Linked DNA regions of Astyanax mexicanus. The protein of the gene in region 1 interacts with the protein of each later gene in a pairwise test. Links are inferred from orthologs where the notes say so. Each region holds a gene or a part of one and is shown in the gene's direction. Other genes may lie near its edges. The genes, in order: cytoplasmic tyrosine-protein kinase BMX and ptpn21.

Region 1 (3,928 bases):
TACTTCAGTAAGATAATGCAATATTTGGACTCCTGACTTAATTAACACTTCTGCATTATCTGTCACGATAACCGTTTTTGTTTAGACAACATTGTGTTCCAGACATAATTGCGATAAACAATGTCAACAGACAGTTCTTGTGGAAACAGGAGAGTCTGCCGTGATTTGAGCAGCCGTGGTTTTTATGTTTTTTGGATACAATCCGGGTTAGCACCCGAACATCCCTTTCAGACAGCTTCCTCTTGCATCCACAGTTAATCCTGTTGGATGTGGTTTGTTCTTCTTGGTGGTATGTTGACATTACCCTGGATACCATGGCTCTTGATGCATCACAAAGACTTGCTGTCTCGGTCACAGATTCGCCAGCAAGACGTGCACCAACAATTTGTCCTCTTTTGAACTCTGGTATGTAACTCATAATGTTGTGTGCTTTGCAATATTTTGAGCAGAACTGTGCTCTTACCCTGCTAATTGAACCTTCACACTCTGCTCTTACTGGTGCAATGTGCAATTAATGAAGATTGGCCACCAGGCTGCTCCAATTTAGCCATGAAACCTCCCACGTTAAAATGACAGGTGTTTCAGTTTCACTGTCCAACCCCTGTATAATGACAATGTAATTGATTCCATCCTAAAAATTACTCCAAACATAAAAACTAACAAGAATGAGTGCCAGTAACAGGAGTAAGTTCCAGTAACAGGAGTGAGTGCCAGTACCATGAGTGATTACCAGTAACAGGAATGAATGCCATTAACAGGAGTGATTTTTTTTTTTGTCATAAATATCAAATAATTGAACATGCAGGCTATCATTTCACATGAGTTTGGTAACGAACTTCAGTTTAGAAACCTTTTAAAAAATTAAGTAGCTTTCAGCTTTTAAGTAAAGCTGAGTTTGACCAGTGCATGTTTTGAATAGTTAAACACAGTTGTTATTAGATTCAGAGTTGGAAAAAAGATACAAAAAATAATTTTAATTTGGAAGAGTTGCAAGCATTTTTTTTTTCTTTTTTCTTTACTTAGCATACCTATGTATTCCTCTGATGGACCTGTGTAGGTATGTGGTTTCATACAAAGGAAGTTAGTGTTTGTTCTGAATAGTGTCAGGGTCATGCAAATACATTAAGCAAACAGTGCCCTGCTGCCACACAGAGGCCTTTGTGAAGCAGCACCTTCTTTTAACAGATATCAGGAAACTGCACCAGGCTTTTGCAGCTATAGTTTAATTCGGGACCCAAAAGGCCAGACGATCGTTTCTCAGCCGGCACAGGTATGATATTTACCGTTATAAAACCTTAATGTGATTTAATTTATTGTGAGACTTTATACCAATGATACACTGATGCTCCTAGTTGTGATAGTGGAAATATGCAGGGAATGTAAAACAGCAGTGTTTTCCTTTTTTCGTTTTTATTCTACTGAGCGTGGTGTTTTGTGTTAAGTATGGTCAATCGGGGGTTGTATACTGCTTAATACTGTTTTCTCAGGTTATGACAGTTAGAGGTAGAGGTGCACACAGCTGAAAGGATGTTGATGTTTTGCTTAATTGCACGTAATAAAGCAATCATTCTCTATGCTGCTATAAACATTGTTGTAAAGCACTCTAACAACAAAGTTTTATTAGTAGTGTGTCTTATTCTCTGTGTGTCTCTGTGTGATTCTCTGGTGCCTGTGTCCAGTTGTCCTGATGAGCGAAGAAGGGGTGGTTAAAGAAGGCATCCTGCTGAAGATGTCTCAGCAGAAGAAGAAAATCTCACCCAAAAACTATAAGGAGCGGCTCTTCATACTGACCAATAAGACTCTGAGTTACTACGAACATGAAAAGGGGGTATGGCTTTTCATTGCATTTTTTCAGGCTTATTAGTTCATAAATATAGAATAGGAAAGGAGCAGATTGTTGTTTACAGTTAAGCCCTTCAAGGCCTATTCACACTAAATCCCTACCTGGACAGGATTAGTTTCTCAGGGGGTCCTGAGGCAATTTTCTCTTTGTAGGTGGTTCGCTATGATTTTATACCCATCCGGAACGACCATGTATGTGTTTTTCTCAGACGTCCTCTAAGAAAATTACAGGCTGAATTATCTACTGTTTTTCGTTACGGTGTTTCATCAGCTTGCGTTTAATAAAATAGCTATTTGTTCACTGCCACGCACCATAATTACACTTTGGGCGTGCGTTTCCACGGAGAAAAAGCAAACACAAAAGCAAATGAAAATAGAGGAGCTACTGAAAACGATGTCATGTGACCGAGAAAGCCAAAAAACTCACAGGTCCTACAGTTTTTTCAATTGCAGTCTGGATGCTAAATTTGTAAAAGTAAAAGTGTGAAATATTTTTTTTCATAGACGTCCCCCAGAGGAAATAATCCCGTCCAGATAGGGCTTAAGTAAGGTTTTTATTCCTTAAGTAGGATTTTAATCCTATGGCATAGTGTTGCCTTACTCTATTAACCATACTCTATTTTTTATTTATTTATTATTTATTGAATTACTTATTTGTTGATTTGCTTGTCCGCTTATTTATTTGTCTTTAATATAACAGTACATGGCATATATACTACTTACTAATTCTACTAAATATCCACTACTAATTAAATAAATTACAAATAAAATGCTTCTCTGGTAAACTTTTGTTTACATTCCTCCCCTGACTTTCTGTTGTGCTCAGCGTGAGTTTCTGCTTGTTCTTGTTTTCCCGTCCATTCTAGGGCTCCCTATCTCCTTATAAGGGCGTATTTTCTTGGCCGTGTCCCAATTCACTAGCCGGGGCAGCGGTAGTGTATTGGACCTTAACCCTGACGACACGGGTTCAATCCCGTGTGAGGAGTATTGTGTTTATTTATTTATTTTTCCTTTCTTCTTTTTTTGTTTACCTGCTTTGAATTCAACCGTTCTGCAATTGGGTTCAACAACCCTCTGGGCTGGAGAGCTACTAGTCTGTAGCATTCCATCCTATTACACATCATACAAGCCATATAATGGCTTGGAAAATATCTGTCCAGTGGCCAAACTTAATTGCAGACCCCTGGCTAATGTTACAAGTAAAATGCTGACTATAATAAAGCAGGGATTAAATATATATTTCTGTTCCAGTTGATTTGGTTGGAAACAACACAAACCGACTTGTTATAAATGCTTTTTTATTTATTTTTTACTTCTGTCTTCCTGTTGCCAATTATTTTTCCAGTTACTACAAAACACATTAAGAAATAGTACATTTAATATAATAAAGAGATATTTTTATCCAGTAGATGTTTCAGTAGCATATACTTATCTGATATTTCCCAGATTTATTTATTAAAATTCCACCAATATCATTCCCACTGATAAATACAAACTCGTGGTGGAAATTATGTGCAATCATTTTCTAAAATGTTTCTGACATGACTTGAAAGCAGCATAAGCACAGCATAGCAAAAGGAAGATGTGGCAGGAAGACTTACAACTGTTCTGTTATTTGTTCCGCTGTCTGGTGTCATCAAGGAAAGGAGGGTTCTCCTTATGAGTTTTGGTTCCTTCTAAGGTTTTTCCCCTCTCAGTCTGAGGAAGAATTTAATTGCTACTTTATGCTTTATGCAGGGGGTAAGATAATATTTTTGAATTTAATGCATATGCATGAATATTTATTCAGACAAGCCTTTTTGTGTGTATTTTTTTTTTCAATGCATTATTGTGTGCTTTTTCTCATTGTTGCAGAAGCGGAAGGCAAAGAAGGGAGTGGTGGCAGCAGAGAAAATTTGCTGTGTGGAGATAGTTGAGCCTGAAGACAATGCACCTGCACAGAGAGAGTTTCCCTTTCAGGTTTTAGTCATTAACACACACATATTCACACTTACATGATTCCTTATAATTTGTGCATGAACAAAAATATGGTGTTAGTATATCATGATGCAACAGCGACTAATTATCTGGGCAATACACTAGGTTA
Region 2 (3,928 bases), on another chromosome or scaffold:
TTCACAGACACGTGATTAAGAGCGCTGCGTGTGTTGTGTGGACACGGTTTGAGTAGAAATCCCGGCAGGTTTACTCAGTGAGAAGAGCTAGATCCGCGGATGAATCCGTGTAGGAGATTTCTGGAGTCCAGCCGGTGTTCTGTCGAGTTATGCCACCCTGTCAAACTATGCTACCCCAGTGATATTTAAAGATAAAATGCCAGAAAAAGCCCAGTATTTAAACATGTTTCTGTTGGGTATTTGGAATGCTTGATTCAATAGATCAGGATACAGTTTAAAGTTAATAGGGGCAATTATAACCCGCATTTTTTTCATTGTCCAGTTATTGTTTCTTTTATTATTATAAACTGTCATAAATAAATGAATACATATGTCTATTTTTCAAAATATATAAGTGATTATCGATTATGATTTTAGGTTCTCATATATCAACTTTTTTAATTTGTAAAAAGTTTTTACATTTGTAAACAGACAGACAGCACCATTGCGCGAGCTATAATTTCCTCTAAAAAAAATTCTTCAACTTTTTTTCTTTTAAACTAATAGTAAGCAGACTTCTTCAAGCTTACATGCAGCTTTTATATTTAACACAGTGAAAACATAACTTTCTTTATTTCAATTAAAGAAAAGTTTAAAATATGTACATCACTGCAACATACAATAGATTCCTTCTGCTATACTATAAAATATTGTGCTATATTACTTTATACTATATTACTATATTTTGCTATATTACTAAAAAAATATTACTTAAAAAAGGATTGATGCATTTCGATGCACATTTCGATGGGTAGCACAACTCGACAGAACACCGGAAATGAAGTAGCTATGGCAGCCGCAGCCAGTGTGACCTGGGAGCAGTAGGAGTCTAACATGCGGGGTTTTACACAAACTTTCAGCAGCTCTGGACTCTATTCGCAGCTCCTCAGCCGTCTAAAAACTCGACCCGGAGTGTGAGTTCAATGCTGGCCCACGGCGGGACGTGTGTGCGGTAAGAGCTGGTAGTGTTAGACTCCGTTAGTGAACACCAGCACACTTTAAATGCAGCGTTAGTTTAGCTAAGCTAGCTGTTAGTGCGCTCAGCCATTACTCTGGTCGGCTAGCTCAGAATTAACTAGCTTCGACAGGATTTAAGGTGGATTTTGGGGGATGAGAAGTTAATCTTTAGACCACAGAGATCAGGGCGAGCACTTTATTCATCGCAAATAAAAGTTTGTTCTGCTCTAGAAAGCGCTGAACAGTGTTGGGTCACGCTCAGACCTATGGAGCGAGTTTGTTTTCGCTGTTCCCGTGATTCAGAGTGACTACAGGCTCAGCCACTTGTTGATATGCGTCTGTTAGCCAGGGTTAGCCGAGGTTAGCTAGCTGTCGGACTTCTTAAACCAACTTAATTTAACTTACCTTTATGACAAAAATACTATCATTATATATTTCTGGAAGCTTGAGAGTCCCTGTGAAATTAACTAGCAAACTTATATTTAGATTTTAAAACCCAGTAAAGCGCCCAAAACATTTCCAGCAACAGAGATGAGAACCAAGAATATATTAATATGATTAATAAAAGAAAAATGAGTGGTCTAACTGCACAGAGTAACGACTATAAAAACACTGTTTTAGTAAGTTTACAGCAAGAGAATTTTTTGAAACATGGAAGAATAATGTAAGTAGAAAAGAGTTACATAGTTGTATATATGACCCATTTGTATGCCTCACTGTTTTAGACATAGATATGCCGTGCAACATTATATAAAAGATAAATAAACACATACATACATTCATAAATAATAAGGTAACGTTATAGTATGAAAACGTGTAATATTTAATAAAGGTAAAATGCATTCTAAATACATATGTTTTAGGGCTGGGCAATATTGTAAAAAAAAAAAAAAAAAAAAAACAATAATTTTCAAATATGAATGATTTTTGGATTCTGATGTTAGGTTTGTATATAATAACTTTCCTTTAATTTCAATTTCAACTTTTTATTTTAACCTAATAGTAAGCAGGCCCCTTCAAGCTTACATGCAGCTTTTATATTTAACACATTTCACACCCTTTATTCCAGTTAAAGAACAGTTTAAAATATGTACATCACTGCAGCATAAAATAGTTCCTTACATGTTTCTGACAGAAGCACATGTCTGTATAAAGACAGCTCTGGAAAAATAAGAGATCACTTAATGAGGATGTTTTTTCTTGATTTTACCAAATTGAAGACCTCTGGAATATAATCAAGAGGGAGATGGGTGATCACAGTCATCAAACCAGCTGAACTACTTGAAGTTTTCCAAAAGCAGTTTGTAAGACTGGTGGAGGAGAATATGCCAAGATGCATGGAAACTATTATTAAAAAACAGGGTTATTGCACCAAATATTGATTTCTGAACTCATGTATATGAACTTGTTTTCTTTGCATTTTTTGAATTCTGAAAGCTCTGCATCTTTTTGTTATTTCAGCCATTTCTCATTTTCTGCAAATAAATGCTGTAAATGACAATATTTTTATTTGAAAAAAAAATCAGAGAAACTGATCCAGAAACTGAAGTGGGCTCTTATTTTGCAGAGCTATAGATCTAACTAAATATTTGGCTAAGGTAGGTTAACTATGTATGAATATGTGCTGTGAAAGGGTAGTGATGGCAGATAACAAACATACTGTAAATACCTCTCCCTCTCTCAGTCTCTGACATTCTTAACCTAGATGCGGGTTATCTGGCTAATAGGTTAAATGCTCATTTTGTTTGTGTCCCTCATCAAAGACAGGTATTTTTCTTTCTATGTGGCTCTCTCTTGTGCTACAATAAAAATCCACCCCGTGCAACATTTCATGATTTGCCTTTAGCACAGTTATTGAGCAAGAATGTTAACATAGATGTGAGTTTGAATGTGAAAAACTTGCTGCATTTTTCATTGCTATTTTTCCTCATGTCAGGAATAATATTAGCCTTGTATATAGTTCTGTCGTTTTGTTTTCTGCAGTAATCTATAATGTGCAGTAGTAGTAACTTTTTATCTACTACGCTCTATTGTAAGAAATCCAATATCTATCTGTAGGCATCCAGTGTGCATTTTAATAGATCTTTTAAAAAAGATTGGTTCAGATGACAGACTCCTTAAAGAAGAGAGATGTGATTTGAATTAATGTAATTTCAGTAATATTTGGTTGTTGCTTGCTTGCCTGTGTTATTCTTTATTAAATCAATTATTGTGATCAGGGTAAGTGTGTCGCTATAATCAATTATTCTTTTAACTATATATTTGTGGAGGTCAGGTCAAAATATTATGGGATAGGTCAGTAACGTGTAGTTACTGTGACTGGCCAAGACCAGGGATGTATTTATATTGGCTGATGCCAGTGCCAGATGTTTTTTTTCTGTACATATGTCAATACATTATACATATAAGTTAGACATATATAACATATTTAAGAAGAGTGTGGATAAATCCACTTGGCTTGCAAAATGTATGTGCAGATGGTTACAATTTTATAAAAATACAAATAAAGTAATTTTTCTGATGCCTGTAAAATATTGATATTATTATACATCTTTAGAGGTGATGCTCACCTGGGCATGCAGTTTTAGGCGAGTTTATAGTTGACAGTAACAGTGGTGCTGAAATGCATTAAGGAGGTGCATATGAGAACATGTGTTCAGTAACTTCATTCAGTCCCGCTACTGCTCTACTAACTGAGACTACACTCTTACACATATATGTGAATGTGTATATTGTATCTATTTTTGTGGATATTATTGACCAGTTCCTGCTGTACTAAATATCATGAAAGTCTGTACCCATAGGAATGCCTTCTAACCTATTTTGCCCTGATTACCTTTTTCCCTCCAGTGATCCATGTAATTGCCTTATGGAGTTTGGCACACAGTTCGTTGCCAATGGCTTAAGGTTGAAGTGAAGCTGAGTGACTCAT

What was found.
Region 2: the proteins of cytoplasmic tyrosine-protein kinase BMX (region 1) and ptpn21 interact in binary tests that used the Homo sapiens proteins (3 or more experiments, as listed by UniProt). The link is inferred for Astyanax mexicanus from reciprocal best matches to the Homo sapiens genes BMX and PTPN21.

What each region holds. Positions count from the first base shown.
Region 1 is NC_064430.1:16,759,790-16,763,717, forward strand, and holds the start of cytoplasmic tyrosine-protein kinase BMX, read left to right. Parts: upstream 1-1,191; 5' UTR 1,192-1,270; intron 1,271-1,679; 5' UTR 1,680-1,687; coding exon 1,688-1,828; intron 1,829-3,696; coding exon 3,697-3,801; intron 3,802-3,928. UniProt on the Homo sapiens protein: Non-receptor tyrosine kinase that plays central but diverse modulatory roles in various signaling processes involved in the regulation of actin reorganization, cell migration, cell proliferation and survival, cell adhesion, and apoptosis.
Region 2 is NC_064421.1:15,928,572-15,932,499, reverse strand, and holds the start of ptpn21 (tyrosine-protein phosphatase non-receptor type 21), read left to right. Parts: upstream 1-819; 5' UTR 820-991; intron 992-3,846; 5' UTR 3,847-3,928.